Arabidopsis thaliana: one gene and its partners. The protein of the gene in region 3 binds, or shares a complex with, the protein of the main gene of each other region. Each region holds a gene or a part of one and is shown on either strand. Other genes may lie near its edges. The genes, in order: EMB3136, RPL24, AT1G29070 and RPL9.

What was found.
Region 1: AT1G29070 (region 3) and EMB3136 share a complex: the UniProt entries of both Arabidopsis thaliana proteins name them as parts of the 50S ribosomal subunit.
Region 2: AT1G29070 (region 3) and RPL24 share a complex: the UniProt entries of both Arabidopsis thaliana proteins name them as parts of the 50S ribosomal subunit.
Region 4: AT1G29070 (region 3) and RPL9 share a complex: the UniProt entries of both Arabidopsis thaliana proteins name them as parts of the 50S ribosomal subunit.

The regions. Positions count from the first base shown.
Region 1 is NC_003076.8:4,339,315-4,342,626, forward strand, and holds EMB3136 (Ribosomal protein L10 family protein), read left to right. Parts: upstream 1-1,947; 5' UTR 1,948-1,979; coding exon 1,980-2,642; 3' UTR 2,643-2,781; downstream 2,782-3,312. Other genes in the region: AT5G13500 (Hyp O-arabinosyltransferase-like protein), read left to right, coding at 4-205, 372-469, 575-644, 774-845, 995-1,108, 1,451-1,513; AT5G13520 (peptidase M1 family protein), read right to left, coding at 2,803-3,096. UniProt on the Arabidopsis thaliana protein: This protein binds directly to 23S ribosomal RNA.
Region 2 is NC_003076.8:22,180,856-22,185,142, reverse strand, and holds RPL24 (Translation protein SH3-like family protein), read right to left. Parts: upstream 2,301-4,287; 5' UTR 2,098-2,300; coding exon 1,984-2,097; intron 1,484-1,983; coding exon 1,445-1,483; intron 1,272-1,444; coding exon 1,041-1,271; intron 953-1,040; coding exon 740-952; 3' UTR 533-739; downstream 1-532. Other genes in the region: ANK (ankyrin), read left to right, coding at 1-362; CRLK1 (Protein kinase superfamily protein), read right to left, coding at 2,445-2,807, 2,902-3,105, 3,187-3,258, 3,345-3,430, 3,612-3,738, 3,968-4,121. UniProt on the Arabidopsis thaliana protein: One of two assembly initiator proteins, it binds directly to the 5'-end of the 23S rRNA, where it nucleates assembly of the 50S subunit. Required for optimal plastid performance in terms of photosynthesis and growth.
Region 3 is NC_003070.9:10,147,873-10,151,915, forward strand, and holds AT1G29070 (Ribosomal protein L34), read left to right. Parts: upstream 1-1,918; 5' UTR 1,919-2,011; coding exon 2,012-2,225; intron 2,226-3,023; coding exon 3,024-3,283; 3' UTR 3,284-3,535; downstream 3,536-4,043. Other genes in the region: AT1G29060 (Target SNARE coiled-coil domain protein), read left to right, coding at 1-46, 170-293, 731-787, 1,426-1,587. UniProt on the Arabidopsis thaliana protein: This protein binds directly to 23S ribosomal RNA.
Region 4 is NC_003074.8:16,384,373-16,389,251, reverse strand, and holds RPL9 (ribosomal protein L9), read right to left. Parts: upstream 2,858-4,879; 5' UTR 2,748-2,857; coding exon 2,595-2,747; intron 2,261-2,594; coding exon 2,133-2,260; intron 1,977-2,132; coding exon 1,931-1,976; intron 1,790-1,930; coding exon 1,692-1,789; intron 1,609-1,691; coding exon 1,561-1,608; intron 1,410-1,560; coding exon 1,289-1,409; 3' UTR 1,253-1,288; intron 1,005-1,252; 3' UTR 529-1,004; downstream 1-528. Other genes in the region: CHX4 (cation/H+ exchanger 4), read right to left, coding at 1-174, 265-528; ACD1 (Pheophorbide a oxygenase family protein with Rieske 2Fe-2S domain-containing protein), read right to left, coding at 3,048-3,302, 3,396-3,680, 3,753-3,912, 3,996-4,132, 4,221-4,347, 4,442-4,677. UniProt on the Arabidopsis thaliana protein: Binds to the 23S rRNA.

The DNA of each region.
Region 1 (3,312 bases), on a different chromosome or scaffold from region 3:
CAGCTATGTGCTCATGGCAGAGCCTGATCATGTATTTGTTAATCCCCTTCCCAATTTGGCTGTTGGAGGATTCCCAGCCGCTTTTCCGTTTTTCTATATTACTCCTGAAAAGTATGAAAACATAGTCAGAAAGTATTATCCAGCGGAGATGGGGCCAGTAACAAATATCGACCCCATTGGCAACTCTCCTGTTATCATAAGCAAGGTGAGATTATCTGTGCTATACTGTTTGTATATGTGTTATTTGACTTGGGCCCCAAAGATTTTCAGAGGCGTTTAGCTAGATGTGATGTTGGTGTCCAGGAATATGTTCTGTTTGTTCTGTTCATGCATTAAAATTGATGTTGACATGCATTTACTTTCTGATGCAGGAATCACTTGAAAAGATTGCTCCTACATGGATGAATGTCTCGCTGACAATGAAAAACGATCCAGAAACTGATAAGGCATTTGGATGGGTGCTGGAAATGTTAGCACAAGAAACAAGAATCTTAAATCATGAATTGGCTCTCCACCTTTTGAATCCCATCATTGTTAACTGACTACTTTATTCTTCTCTTTTCTGTTTGATAAGGTACGGTTACGCAATTGCATCTGCTATACATGGGGTGCGTCACATACTTCGGAAGGATTTCATGCTTCAGGTAAGAATCGACCTTGTGCTGATACCTTAGTGATAACATATTCTATGTCGAAGATACTTTTGTTTTGTCAAAGTTACAAAAGTTGTTTCTCTGCTCCATATTCCTAAGTTCTCTCACAATATCTTTCAGCCTCCGTGGGATTTGTCTACCAAGGGGAAGTTTATCATTCATTACACTTATGGATGCGACTACAACATGAAGGTGATTTTCTGTTTGACACGATTGTTTAATTTTAATTTTTGGCTGATAAATTAGGAACAGATTTCACATCTTGTGGTCATTTGTTTTTACTTAAGGTCATTAGGTTCTCTTTTTAGTCACTACTAAGTTTTGCTGACTGTTAAATACAGGGGGAGCTGACATATGGCAAAATAGGAGAGTGGCGATTCGATAAGAGATCACATTTGCGGGGTCCTCCTCCAAGGAACATGTCCTTGCCGCCTCCCGGTGTTCCCGAAAGTGTGGTATGTTATATATAAACCTCTATAATCTGATCGTGCTTAAAACAAGATACTGCAGTAAGGTCCATTCATAGCTCAAAGGGGAACTTATTTGTATCATGTCCATTGGTTTAGTGGATTCCGGAGACTAAATAGCAACGTCATACACAAATGGTCGTCCATAGTTTGATGTAGTTTGTGAATTTGCAATGGTTTTACTTTCCGGGGAGATGATATGCATAAGTCTGTTAGAAGTAGTTGTAATATCTTCAGGAGTTACGGTTTTGCTTGTGGTCAATCAAGTGTGAGAGTGAGAACCGTAATATTGAATGACTGTCCTTAATAACATATTGTGTGATGGTGCAGGTGACACTTGTGAAGATGGTGAATGAAGCTACTGCGACTATCCCTAATTGGGACACTCTCTAACTCACATCCACACACAAAACACAAACCATAGGGACAAATCCATACAGCAACAATATTTTGCCTAATTTTTTTTTCCTTCTCCCTTTACTTCCCTTCTTGTCTGTTTTTTCTTGTAATGGTTAAATTATGAACTTGAGTAGTAAATTACAAAATTATTTGTTTGACACGAGACGAGACATCTTCCATAATTCCGAGAAAGAAAATAGAATTATTTTGGGTCTAGTTATTTGATTAGTTTACCAATGGATTGCGTTCAGAATTCAGAAGCAGAGACTAAAAGACACAATGCGTTAAATTAGACGGAGTTACTAATTCCGTCTATTAACCCTTTTTTTATCCATAAATTTTATTTTCCATTTAAGAAAAATAAAAAAATAAAATTGCTTAGTGGAGGATTGTGTTGTTGTTCATCTATCTTCTTCCTCCACACAGCTAGAAACAGTCTCCTCATCTTCTGAGCAAAAAAATGGAAGTGGCTCTTCTCTCCTTCTCTTCTTCCTTGTCTCCTCTCTGTCACCAGCGAATCTCAACTCTCACACCCAAAACCTCGAATTCCCCAAATTACCCTCGCCTCCCGGTCATCAGATCCGCGGTGTCTCGTAACAAGAAGGAAGAGACTGTCGAAGCCGTCAAGTCTCACTTGGAGAACTGCCATCTCCTCGCCGCCATCAACTACAAAGGCCTCACCGTCAAGCAGTTTCAAGACCTCCGGAGAACTCTCCCCGACACTACAAAGCTCATCGTCGCCAAGAACACTTTGGTCTTCAAAGCCATTGAAGGCACCAAATGGGAAGCTCTCAAGCCTTGTATGAAAGGCATGAACGCTTGGCTTTTCGTCCAGACCGATGAAATCCCTTCTGCTATCAAACCCTACCGGAGCTTCCAGAAGGAACGCAAGCTTGAAAACAATGACTTTGCCGGCGCTGTCTTCGAAGGTAAGTTCTACGCTCCTGACAATTTCAAAGTCCTCGAGACCATGCCCACTCGTGCTGAGGTCTACGCTAAGATGCTCGGTGCTCTGCAATCTCCGGCTATTAATCTCGTCACTACTTTACAAGCACCAGCAAGAGAGGTTATAATGGTGCTTATGGCTTACATTAAGAAGTTGGAAGATGAGAGTAATGCATAGTTAAGCTTGTACTAATCTTTTGGAGAATGTAATGTACGCAACAAAAGGCAATTCAATTTTTTGTTTATGACTCTCTCAAGCACCAATTGTTATTACAGTGACTGAGTTTTATTGAAATGTTGTTTTTCGGAGTGCTCTCAAGCTATCATAACGGTCTTGTTTAGATGTACTTAGAGAGGATAGATTCAACAACTCCCTGAGCTATGGGGTGATAAGTTTCTCGAGCTTCTGCAAACACCTGTTTTGCCAGCTGCTTCTCTTCTGTTCCACCAGATTGTGCAAGAGCAGTGAAGAGTGGACGCAGGTACTTCATCCTTCCTACCTCTTTTAGTGTTTTCTTCACTTCCCCATGGTACTCTCTGCACTTGGATGTGACTGCAAGTTGCAGAAACGAGACCTTCACTTCATAGTCTTTCGATTCTGCCAGTCTGTACCGCTTGTCCAAGGCCATGACCTGATTCATCAATGAGCAAAGTGGGTGTTAGCCATAGGTTTGAACCTGATCACCAATCCTTCCTTTGTTGACTAGCATTGTCATTAACAAACAAGATAAGATCCTAACTCTTGCAAAGCCAATACACTTTCCACAATCATGAACTCTCCCAAAGCCAAGAGGGTTTTTCCACAATCATTATTCACTAGCCCCACATTAATCCAAGAGTAACTATTG
Region 2 (4,287 bases), on a different chromosome or scaffold from region 3:
TGCTAGACAAAGAAAAACTAGATAAAGTTAAAAAGAATGGTATGAGGTTTTCGGAATTCCAACTATGGGGATGCAATACGGTAGCGTTTTCCATAGCTATCCTATTTTCATTTATTCTCTTACCAGTTGGCAGAGCATATGAGTGGTGGTATTTCATTATTACGGTGCCCCTCGTCTTCTCTTATTTCCTTTTGATGTACATGATGCATGGTCTCTCATTCTTCTTCCTCATCATATATGAAGGGGGCTTATTCCTCGTGTATCTACTGGTATTATATGTAAAGTGGAAACGGTGTACGCAGATGAAGGTACGCAAACCCAAAAGCGACCTGATTTCTGACAACTTCAAGAACATGGTTTAACCATTTTGAAGCGTTTGCACTTTGTTCCCTCGAAACTTTGTTTGCTTTAACTTTGTAACGTGCACTCATTTTAAAGATTGTATCTTTTGAATAAATTACTGTAGGTGCTTAAGGTTATGGCGGAGTCATTAATATGTTTAGTTTTTGGTTCAGTTTATTTGATAGGCCGGTCTAACATTGTCAATAACGATCAATATTGATATAGACAAGACTCAAGAGTACCCGGCTTTAGTTCGATTAATATGTTAAATCATGCTAAGAGGTGTTCATGAGGGGAGCAGAAATATTATAATTTACCTTAAAAGGGATTCAATACATCCATCCAATGCATAGGTCTATTATATCAAAAGTGCACTGAAGAAGAAAGAAATGAGACGCTAAGATGCGGAGGTAACTGCAACTTGGGTGGTTTCCTTATCCTTAGCCTCCTTAAGTAGCTTCCACTTCTCAATGGTGTCGATGAGTTCCCCTGTTTTGATCAGATATCTTACCTTCTGTCCATCTTCAAGTACCTTGTGACCCACCCGGCTTACTACGTCTTTTTCTTTTGAATACAACATCACATTTGAGCTGTGGATAGGTGCTTCTATCTGGAAAGCATAATACATTTCGCACAATCTTCAATCATCACTCCAATCTTGCAAAGTAAAGGAAAGCTACAAAACTATGATTTCTGACCTTGACAATTTGACCAGGCTCTCCCTCTTCTCGGCTCTTCATGTGTTTTGTTTTGAGGTTCACATCTTTGATCACAATGGTACTGTTGTGAGTGAAAATCTTAGTAACCTCTCCGATTTTACCCTTGTCGCGTCCAGATATTACTTTGACTGTATCTCCAAACTTGACATGCATTTTGTGGAGAATCGGAAGACTGTTTGGTTTGCATTCTTTTCGTTCCCAACGCTTGAGCTGAAAACGCAAAACACATAAATCATCTTCCAATCTCATTGTTTCAAAAGAATCTATCAACAGTTTTCCTTTTTGCTTTTGATGTGTACAAAATCTAAAGAATTATTGTGGTTTCAAAGCTAGTATATTAACGAATAATGCAGAATGTTAATGTAATGGATCTGTGGACTAACCTTTGCAAGAACAAGACATGGGTTCTCAGCGGGCTTGACCTGCAATGAGTATAAAATAATCAGCAGAGTAACAAAGAAACCATATCCTATTGCAGCTATTTTGCATTTCATAAGAAAATGCAAAAAATCACAACCAAATGAACAAGATAGCCACTTTACTCAATGTGAGCCATCACACGCACATTTTCGTTCGTTTAAAAAGTATAGCATTTACAAGTACTAGTCCATTGATTCCAAACCAATAACTAGTCAATCAGTCTAAAGGATGACGTTTTAAGTCCTCATAACTTTCATCTCAATTCAGTAGTTACACTTAAACATAGACAATGCACAAAATTTTATATCCCAGTAAGCAAAATTCAAACTTAAAATGAGCAACAACACAGATTCAATTTGAGAGTTACTTGATGAAATGGGTTTGGATATGAAAAGCGAAGACATGAACCTAATCTATTACGCAAACAAGTGAACTACATAACCTAAAAGCTTGAACAATGATTAAAAACCTGAATTGACCAGAAATCGAAAATTAAAGTTACCGGAGAAGTGACGGAGAGGGAAATCGGGGAAATTAAACGCTGGCCGAGGAAGGAAGAGCTGGGAGATAGAGAAAGAGAAGTAAAAGAGCTCTGAAGAGCAGACATGGTTGCCATTTTTTCTCGCTCTGCAACTTTCACTCTTCTTCTTTTTCCTTCGTCCTATCCGTTCCACAGATGACGATAAAAATTGGATAAACGATTAAACGACACTGTATTATCACTAAACCTTAATGGGCTAGGCTAGGTTTTAATTGGGCCTTGAATTCAATTCTTTTCATAGCCCAAATATATAATATGGTTCTCCAGTTTTGAACTCGTTTTAACACGAAAAAACAAAGAACAAATTTTCATTCACAAATATAGACAATCTAGCGTCTAAAAACCCAAAAGAATTGAAAAACAAAATCACATTTTAAAAGTTAATAATAATTAAAAAAATTGAGACTTTTTTTTCATTTTGTTTACAAAATCACGTCTTCAGCTATACTACTGTCCAAGGAATTATCCCTCCGATGAATTTCTGATCGTAATGATCCGTTTGCAGTTAACTCACCTTCTGACTCCTCCACTATCGGAGGAGGAGGAGGAAGCCGTGGAGACGGCGACGGAGAATTCTTCTGCCGCTTTCTGCAATGTCTCACTTTAATAACACGAGTCAAAACCTGAACAATGTCCCTCATGTTAGGACGTTTTCTAGGTGCACGAGAGATGCATTTGTAAGCAAAAGCTGCTACTTCATTCACTTCTTGTAAATCATATCTCCCATCTAATCTTGAATCTACTATCTCTTCCCATCCGACTTTTTCCTCTGCATTCATAGCCGCCTGTTCATCAACAACAACAAAACGTTTAGTCTTTACATGCAATTCTCCAAACAAAACAATTGGAGATTTCGAGGACTTTTTAGTTTTATGTTACCAGCTCAACCAATTCCATTAGACCTTGTTGAGGATTTCTTCCTGCTATAAGCTCGAAAAGCAAAACTCCGAAGCCATAGACATCGCTTTTCTTGGTGAATGTTCTTGTTGAAATGTATTCGGGATCGAGGTAGCCAAATGTTCCTCTGATGTTAGCTGCATGTTTGTCTACCATTTCTTCTCTGGAGAGGCCAAAGTCAGCAACCTGAAGTTAAAGAAGATCACCATTAGAAACTTGAGGTGGTTCAATAGACTGAGATTTCAAAGAGAAAGAAGATATGTTTACCCGAGCTCTCATAGATTGATCCAGCAAGATGTTGGAAGATTTGATATCTCTGTGGATTACAGGAGGAACAGCCTGGAACAATTGATTAGAACATGAGTTTTGAAGTTGTTGTTTAAGAGATGCATTAAAATGGTGAATGGTTTTAGCAAGCAGCTTACCCCATCATGAAGATACTCTAGACCACGTGCCACGTCTAAAGCAATATATACTCTCAAATCCCAGCTCAGCGGTTCATGTTTTTCGCCTGTATCAAAAGTACCATTTTAGTGCATCTCAAATCTTTACCAAGGCTCATCATTTAGTGAAGTCTAAACCATCAACTCAATAAATGTTCTACAAAGATACCGAATAGCTCAACATTGCATTAACAGTTCATTTAGTGACAAGCAGATTAATATGGTATGTATAACCAGGTAGTTACTTACTGTATAAATGAGAAGCTAAGCTTCCTTTACTCATGTAAACATATATAAGCATGTGTTGGCCTTTCTCTGCACAGTATCCAATCAAGTTCACTAGGTTACGGTGATGCAACCTTCCCAATAACATAACCTGAAAAGATTAAGGCGAGTGGATGAGTTTTTCAAGAAACTAAGCAGATACTAAGAGAGTAAGATATATAGATTGTTCATTCATGTAGCCTGTCTTATAGATGACACAACTAATAAATTGAGTATTAGAGATTTCAGAAAGCCTATTGTAATGCTTAAAAGTCTGCCTAATGCTACATGTTTTACACACTAACTTGTTCTTCGGAAATGAATCCATAGATATATCTTACCTCTGTCTGAAACTCTTTTTCGCCCTGTTTAGAATCAGTGGCTAGAACTTTCACAGCCACGATCTCACCAGTAGACATTTGAGCTTTGTAGACAGGTCCAAATGCTCCTTGGCCTATCAAAGTCGTGAAATTACACGTCGCTTTCTGCAAATCCCTGAAGCAATCACCAAAGACCATATGTCAAAAACGGAATATAACCCCAAGAATGCAAGACCTTCTCATATCCACAACAGCATTCCCCTTTTTAATGAACTTTCAAACTTTGAAATAATAACCAAAGTAACTACTATAACAAGAGAAGTCTAGTCCTGAGTATAGTT
Region 3 (4,043 bases):
GTGCGGGTGGTTCTCTATACGGCGGAGCTGATCCGTATAGATCTAGGTATATTTCTAATATTATCAGTTTCTCCTTTTCTGAAATCGATTCTGGATAGAGAAAACGGGTCCTAGATTTGGTGAATTCTGCGTAAAGTACAAGTATTTATCTTTGGTGTGTGATTTGTAGAGAAGGGCTAAGCACTAGAAATGCTTCAGGTTCAGAGGAAATTCAGCTGAGGATTGATCCTATGCACTCTGACCTGGATGATGAGATTCTAGGTCTCCATGGCCAAGTCAGGCAATTGAAAAATGTAAGAAACCCTCTAAATCCCATTTCGATCTTTCTACTTTTTATCTATAGTGCCATTTGTATTGTCTTCTTGTGGTTCTGAAGGATCATTGTTCTCTTTAAGCTTTAAGTTGATCATATGAATTTGGAAATTTGTCTTCTTTTCGGTTTTGACAGTGGTTAGAGCTTGGTTAATTAGTTGTGTAGGTGTTTTTTTGTTCAGGGTACTATGATAATGTTATTGTTCACAATACTTATCAGTCAGTCCACGATTAATTAGTTGAATCCACTTGTCTGATGTCTTTTGTATACATCTGTGGTTATTGTTTTATATCACCACCCTTCTTGAAGGAATCAGTCGACATTCTCTACAATTCCTTGTGTTTTACCTTGCACTTTTGCGCATTATTTATCCCTCATGATTTTTTGTTATATCGTTGATCGCTTATTTTGATGCAGATTGCTCAAGAAATTGGGTCAGAAGCAAAGTCTCAGAGGGACTTCTTAGATGAACTGGTATGTTGTTGATGTCCCTTTAGTTTTTTCTTTATCCATCATAGTAAATTGCAATGTAAGCACTTAACATCAGTAACATGCATTCATTTACTCTTCTTTACCTTTAAGATGAATCACTGATTATATATAGTATATCCGAATATCGGTTTCCTATAACTTGTTTCAGATGTCTCTGTTCATTATTAGTTGGGAAAATATAGTTTCATCCTAACATATGTTAGATAACTTTAACCGTAGCTTACAAAACCAATGAATCTTGATAAATCCAAAGTGTAGATTATGTTTACTTAGGATCTGGTCTGAACGCTGGTGGTGGGTAGGATTAGATATCTTCAATCTCACCTAGTTTGGTGAAATGCAGCAGGAAATGGTTACAGCTTATCATTGAGTTCCTGCCACTTTGTCAATGAGAATGTTGGTGTTGAATGTGTTCATTGCTTTTAGTTCGTTCTAGTTTTTTCTTTTGTTACCTAGAAGAACATCCTAGAGAAGATAATGACAAACAACTAGATTTGGTAGTGAGACTGCAGAAACAAGCATTTAGTGCTGTTATAAGCAAAATAAAATAAGTAGACGAAATGTTGTTCTTGTCTGAAACATAAAACGCTTCAATGGTATTTTGTTTTTGTTTGTGACAGCAAATGACATTGATCAGAGCGCAAGCAGGGGTGAAGAACAACATAAGGAAACTGAACCTAAGCATAATCCGTAGTGGTAACAACCACATAATGCACGTAGTTCTTTTCGCGCTCCTCCTCTTCTTTATCCTCTACATGTGGTCCAAGATGTTCAAAAGATAGATAGAGAGACTCATGGCATACTTGTGTTACCCCCCAAAAAAAAACCCTTGATGAATGTTGGATAAGTTGTAGAAAATATCCTCTAGATTACAAACATTTTGTGGTTCTTCTCGTTACCTGTTATATAGAGTGCCTGTTTTTAACAGTTTACATGAAGCAAAATTGTATCACAGAACAACAGCATGAGATATTTTAGACCAGTTCAAATCTGGCCTTAACTTGATTAATTACCCGTCCGGTCCAATTCAGTATTGGGCTTTTATAGTCTTATGGGCTGAAGTGTCGTGATACGTGTATTATTATGGTTGGTTCTTATGCGTAAGTTTATGGTGGTATCGTCCGTAGACGATAGAGGTTCCACACTATGTAAAGGAGACCGGAGAAACAAAGGAACTGGGTTTGGAGATAAGAAGTGGGAACTTGAATGGCTTCCTTATCCACTTCCGTTGTAGCTTCGGCTTCGTCGCGTTTATGGAATCCTGCTGCCTCCAACGGCAAGATTTGCGTTCCTTCTGCTTCGCTTTCTCTGCGTACGGGTTGTAGACGGAGTTCGTCCTCTCTCACTTCTTCCGCTTCTTCGCAATTGCTTCATTGCTCGTTTCTCTCGTCGCCTGTTTCCCTAGCGTCTCCATTTTCTGGTACATCTTAAATTGGTTCGAATTATTGTTTGTGTTTAGCTTCTGGTGATGTAATGTATCAAGTTCTTTTACCCAATTTTGATTTTTTTTTCTGGTTCTTTGGGTTTGGTTGATTTATCACTATTCTCGTGTGTTAGGCTCTAGCTTACTTTGCAAACACATATATTCGAAGCTTTTTTAGAAGAATTTGGGAATTGTGAAACATAGTTGTCAATGGTGAATTCGATTTGGGAGTGTGAGTGAAAGAAGCCATTTTGTTTGTTTCTGATATTTCTTGTTAAGTTTATAACAACAAGTGAAGATAACATTTTGCAACTTAAGCCTCAATTTCTGATATCTTAGCTCATGTATTTGTAGCCGCAAGTAAATGTTGTTTGATTTTTAGTACAAAAATCTTTTAGCTCATGTCGATTATTTAGGTACAATGGTTATAGATTTGCTTCAATATGTCACATGAACTTGTTCCTCCTCCTTTGATCATAATTTTCTTGTAAAGTATATTGTACGACCATTGTAGCTAGGCTAAGATTTGAGCAGTGAATTATAAGCTTTGCCAATTTAGCAACAGACGTTATGGTTATAGCTCAAGAGTTAAAAGGGTAACCTAGGAGAATGCATTAAAGTCATTTTGGATTTGTCTGGGTCTTGATTCTGAGCAGTGTGTTGAGAGTTTGGTATTGTATGGTGAGTTCTTTGGGTAATTAAAGGAAGGAGTTTACCGGTTCCAATATTATCAGCTTGATACACTATCAAACCTATAATGTCACATTGATCAAAATGGTGTTGCTGTCTTTTCAGGTTTGTCCATTGCGTTTGATCTCAGCAGTCAAACTAGTGGACTGAATGGCCAGAGACGCAGAGGCCTTGTGGTTAGAGCTGGAAAAGCTGCTCTGTGTCAAACTAAGAGAAGCAGATCAAGAAAATCTCTAGCTAGGACTCATGGTTTCCGTAGAAGGATGAGGACCACTAGCGGTAGAGCAACCATAAAGCGTCGACGTGCCAAGGGACGTTGGAACCTCTGTCCCAAGTCCAACCCTAGCAGCGGCAAACGGGCTTGAAGTTTGTTTCTCTCTTCACTCTATCTGTAATCTTGTTTCATGTGCTTTTTTTCCACCAGAAGATACAATGAGAAACATGGTTCGTTGAGCTCTTTTCTGCGTTTTAACTCTCTTGCATCCTTGATTCGTTTATAAATCAATGTTCTTGGAATTCATCACATGTACTACTATACTACTTGCTTCATTGAATTTGTTACTACTCGAAGTCTCAACTTCAAAGCCATAATTACTTAAAGATCTCTTCTGGCCACCAGGATAATTCTGGTGTGTAAGAATTGTTCAGATTCCAAGTAGTGTTAATGGTTGCTGAAAGTTGATGTATATAGTTTGGGGTTCAATCCCTGAAGGATTTTACTTTCATTTACTAGTTTTATTTCAACCTAACAATTACTTTTAAGTACTAACCCTAAATTATATTCCCCTTAAAAAGAAAACTGCACCAAAAACAAACTAGTTAAGAAAAATGAAACCAAAACTAAAAAAGAAAAGTTCCTTCTTATTGGAAATTAGGGAGGGATCAGATTGTGTAAAAAAGAGAGCGCCCAATAGTCGTAACAGGCTTTGGGCGGAACGCTCTTCTCGCAATATAAGCGAGTTTTTACCATTCATCATATCCCCTTTAACTTGCCTGAAGGATCATGCCTTTTACGTAATTAGCTCTTTCTTTTTTATAGGCATGTTACTACCATCACTATCTCTACCTAAACGATGTGGGACAAAATAAACTATTCTCTTGTTTGAAATAAGGTTTCTTATCTCA
Region 4 (4,879 bases), on a different chromosome or scaffold from region 3:
CCCGGTGCTGCGGATCAAACTCAAGTCCATTTTAACTCCCATCAAGAACCAAAACATCATGTAGGAACATGCACCCACTAAACCAAACAGAGTCTCTTTATAGTCTTCCGTCGAGAGGAATTTCCTAGCCGGTGTATTCTCCTTAAGAAACGACTTGCTCAAGAGAATCCCAGTCTGGCAAAACCACACAGAATATCAAACATAAGCAATGCAAACAAAGAGGAAGAGAGATTTGAAGATTCAAGAATTGAGTAAAGTTCTTACAAGCATATGGGAGGTGAAACGAATCATGCCGAGACGTCTGAGGAAGAAATGGAAGAATTGCCAGAGAATAGTGACGATAAGGAAAATGATCTGAACATGTGGAAACATGTAATTCCAGAACTCAATGTTTGCTTGAGGATCTGGGAGCTTCGGGGAGGGCCATAGCCCGCTCGAGCTCGGGTTAATAGGCAAGATACCGCAGATCATGTTTGCATCTCTCCATGTATCTCTCAGGTAAGGGATCCTATCACCATTAAACTCCATTGGACAAAACTTGTTAACAAGAACAAAGATGATAGAAACAAGAGAATCATATGATTATAAAAACCGAATCAAGAGCTATAACTGTCTTAAACAAAAAAGGTTTTGGTAACAGAATTGAAGAGAAGCAGTGAAACAAAAAAACATCTGGGTTTTGTCATTAAACAACAACTCTCTAAAAATAGTCAATCTTGTGGGAACAAGAGACGGCGACATAGTTTTTCAGATTTCTGGTTATTTGTTAGTTTTTTAAACAGCTTGTTAGTGTTAATTTAAGCATTCTCATCACTTCAACAGACAAATGAATACAATATAACTTCAAGTAAATATCATAACTTGCAAGAGAATATTATACTTTTAGCGTTTCCAGATTCCAAAAATAGCAAAAATACAAATGCATCAAACAATCTAAAGGAAAAACTTCACAACCTTCAATCCTCACCACAAGAGGCTACTCTCTTTTCCCTCTCTATACGTTCCTGCAAGTTCAAAACACCAAACACAGTGCGATGGACAATTAGCATCTGCGTTTGCGGCTAGACCTTAAAACGCAAAACTCCGTTCAACAGCCAATATTCCCGACCAATGTTTATATGCCGATGTTCAGAGTTCAGAACATCGGTTTAACTACTTATTTCATGCCAATTAAGACACGAACTAAGACAAAACTAATACTTAGTTTCATTTATGGTTAAAAGCCACATGATCATGGAAAATCAAGAAATACCTTGGGATGCAGTAGGAGTCTTGAATCGTTGAAGGTTTAGTTAGCGAAAACATTGATCTTAACTCGAGCAGTGACATCGGGGTGAAGCTTGAGTTCGGCTATGTATTCTCCGGTTTCACGGATTTCTGGGAGAGAGACAAGGCGTTTGTCGATGTCCCTGCAAAACACAGCCACAGAGAAGCAGATAAAACCATATTAGGTTCTTCGAACAACACTAAAAACCAAATGTAGACTGATCCAACTAAACCGCCCACATGAGAAAGCTTGTAGCTTTTTATGTGGAAATGTAAAATTTTCTATGTTGTTACTTTTGGAGCTGTGATTTGATGATGTCGACGAGGTCTTGAGCTGTGACACTGCAGGAAAATATAAAGTTAAGTACAGGCTAAACACTATTCTCAAGACTGTTAAAATCTAGATTTGCTTAAGTAGGACTTACGATCCAAATATCAGTTTGCCTTTACCGCCTTTGCGTTTAACCTTGAAAGCACCAACGGTTTGGAATACCATCGCCAGTTGTTGTGCCTCTTCTTTCACCTGCAAAAAAGGTTCCACGCAAAGAAAAAACCAACAAACAGATGAAAATCAATAACCAAAGAGTTTTTTGGTGATCACTCAAACACCAAAACTTTACATGATGATCAAATAAAAACAATCAATGTATTCATATCAGATTACCCTTTGCTTCTCTGCCTCAATCCGTTCGTCTTCCATCTTCAATTCCCTGGGGGAAAAACACACACACAAAAAGAAAGAAAATGATGTTTTTCTTGTTGATCTTACAACATTGTAGCAAAGTCCCTCGAAATACAAAGGCCTTAGAACCGAATAGTAAGAGCATACAAAAGCGAACGGAAATTTCGAAGTTGAGGTGAATTACTTGAGCAGAAGTGGAGTCATAAGCTGAGCCTTTCCAGTAGGCAAGAGGAAGTTTCTGAAAAATCCAGCTTTCACATCAAGTAATTGCCCTTGCTTACCCAAATCCGTCACATCCTCTTTCAAAATTACCTTAAAGACACAAAACAAGATTTACCATTAGTGTTTCACTTACTCCATTTCTCTACACAGAAACAAAGCTTCAAACCAATTTATCTTCACTACTTGAAACTAAACTGGTAATATAAAGGCGTCTACTTTTCTAATGTTGATTCATCTTTCTTCCTAACTACGCTGATACAAGAACAAAGACGATGTTTTTACACTAAACCCATAAATTAAGCATCTTCAAGTCTTTTACTTTCATCTCCACCAAAATTCTTCAGAAACACAAGCTCAAATCAAAAACTAACTAAAAGCCAAATCAAATTTTTGAAGGAAACCCATGAAAGGTAATGACTTTTACCTTGCGAAGTTTCTTAGCTTTCTTCTGGGAAACAACTTCAAAATTGAACCTTCGCTCAGATACTTTTAGGGTTTCATTTGCACCGCCATTGAAGCTGTGTGACCAACAAGGAGAGGAGCTCCATGAGAGAGACAAAGCTGTCGAAGAAGCCATAGCCAAAGCTGATTTCACTTCAAAGCAGAGATAACAAGAGCGCACAGTTGTAGTAATTGTTATCTTCTTATCGGCTTTTCGTGTGCTTGCTCAAGTGAAGTGACGAATGTTTTTCTTATGTTTCGAATTTGACCCCGTAATTATTCTACTTTTCTGTTTTCTTACTTAAAAGTTTTATAAAGTTCAATTGAGTACCCAAAATTTAACGGTTAAATCGGTTTTATAGTGCTAAAAGTTCCTCTGGATTTTGATTTACAATGTTTGTACTTTGTATGATGATTATACATATACACAACAAATCTACTCGATTTCAGAATGTACATAATCTCTAAACACAAAGTTCTTCTCTTGTTCATGTAAAGCATATGCAGAAGCAGCTGATATCAGTGATAAACCAGCAAGAACCAGTCGAATCTGAACATCAGAAGGAACACCAGCCGTGGCGGCCCAGAAAACCGTCGCGCCAACGAGAAACTTCTTGAGGATTTGGAAACTGTTGTAAGCTCCTTTGCAGGAAGAGCATACTTGTGTATGCTGATCAAATCTATCTAGCATCTGTTTGTTCAAATTTGTCACGTTTTCAGACATGTGTTTGTATATATATAGAGATCAATCAAATGATGTTAGGATGCATGATTGATGGCTCACCTGACGCTTGGTTAAGACAGTGGAAGGGAGAGGTTGGTTAGACGGGGTGGAGCCGAACCATTCAGGCTGACTCTTACCATGCCGTCTGAGCCAGTTTCTGAATGCTAGAACAAAACGGTCTGCCTGGGTTGGAGTGAATGTGAGCTTTGTGTACTGTTTGTTCACGTCGTAGTCTGGTGACTCCATTGATTTAGCGAGGAATACTTTCTCTTGTCCTTGAAGTACGATCATGTCTCCGTCATAGACTAAGTTCGAAGTCCAGTGTTCATACCATCTTGGTACAACCTAACAAGGAACAGCTTCAGAAGAATTTACGTAGTAAAATCGGATTAGAGATGGAATCAAAGTTTGTTTTACCTGCCACCAAGCTGGTCCTGGTACAGAGAACTGAAAGAAGTTACGGGCGCTGCAAACGATGGAACGGGTCTTTCCTGGAGCCATTGGTATATTGAATGAGCAAATCCAAATGACCCATTTTTGATTACCGACGATTGGTAGTTTCGCATCTAACTCAATTCTGTAGACAAGGATACACAATTTCATTCTATGCAACTGTATGCTAACCATTTATTATGTATAGTGAGCAAACTCAACACTCACTTGTTCATAGAATAGCACGGAGCAACAAATTTTGCGGTTATCCTTGGACTGTCATCATTCGCACCTTGGAAACCCCAAGGCCCACTTGACTCCACCTTGAACGGCAATGGTTTGGCTCTGTCTCTTCTTCCTGTAACCTGTTTACAACACGTAATCATCGCCTGAGGATAATATCCCTTAGTGGAAATGCAAACACATTGGGAGCTTTGAGAAAGAAAACAACACCTTGTGATGAGCAAAATCTATATGGGAAGGATCAGATACATTTTCCATGAGAGTATCATATCCATAGAAAAGATCCCTTTGAATTGTCACCGTCGAAAATTCCGGTTTATCGAAATCATCCGGCAACCTTTTATGTTAAAGATCAACGCATTTAATAAAACGAGTAATAAAACGAGTATGCTATGTTCATGGAAGCCTGAGAAGATAATCATTTTCGTTACCTAGGGGGTTCAATTGAATTGGCTCTATCCCAACCATTTTCATCAGGCCACACAAAGAGAAGACCTTGAGACACCATTGTCGGGAACTTAATAGCACAAGCTCTCGGGGATTTAACAGCACGAGCTTCAGGACCTGAAGTAGCAGCCTGAGGAATCCTAGTGCAAGATCCACACCCACCAAATGACCATCCATGATACGAACATTGCAAGTGTCCATTCTCATCCAACCTTCCTTCCTACATAACCACAATGCATCAACACATACACAAACACATCAATGAGTCAAGCTCAAAACTTTGGTTACATACACAACAAAGTTTACTTCTTTTTGCTCATAAGTCATAACAATAACAACAACACAAAACTGTTCTGATTCTGACCCTAATATTTTATTCTTTGAAGCTTTTAACCTAATTGATATACTTTAAAAATCAAAAC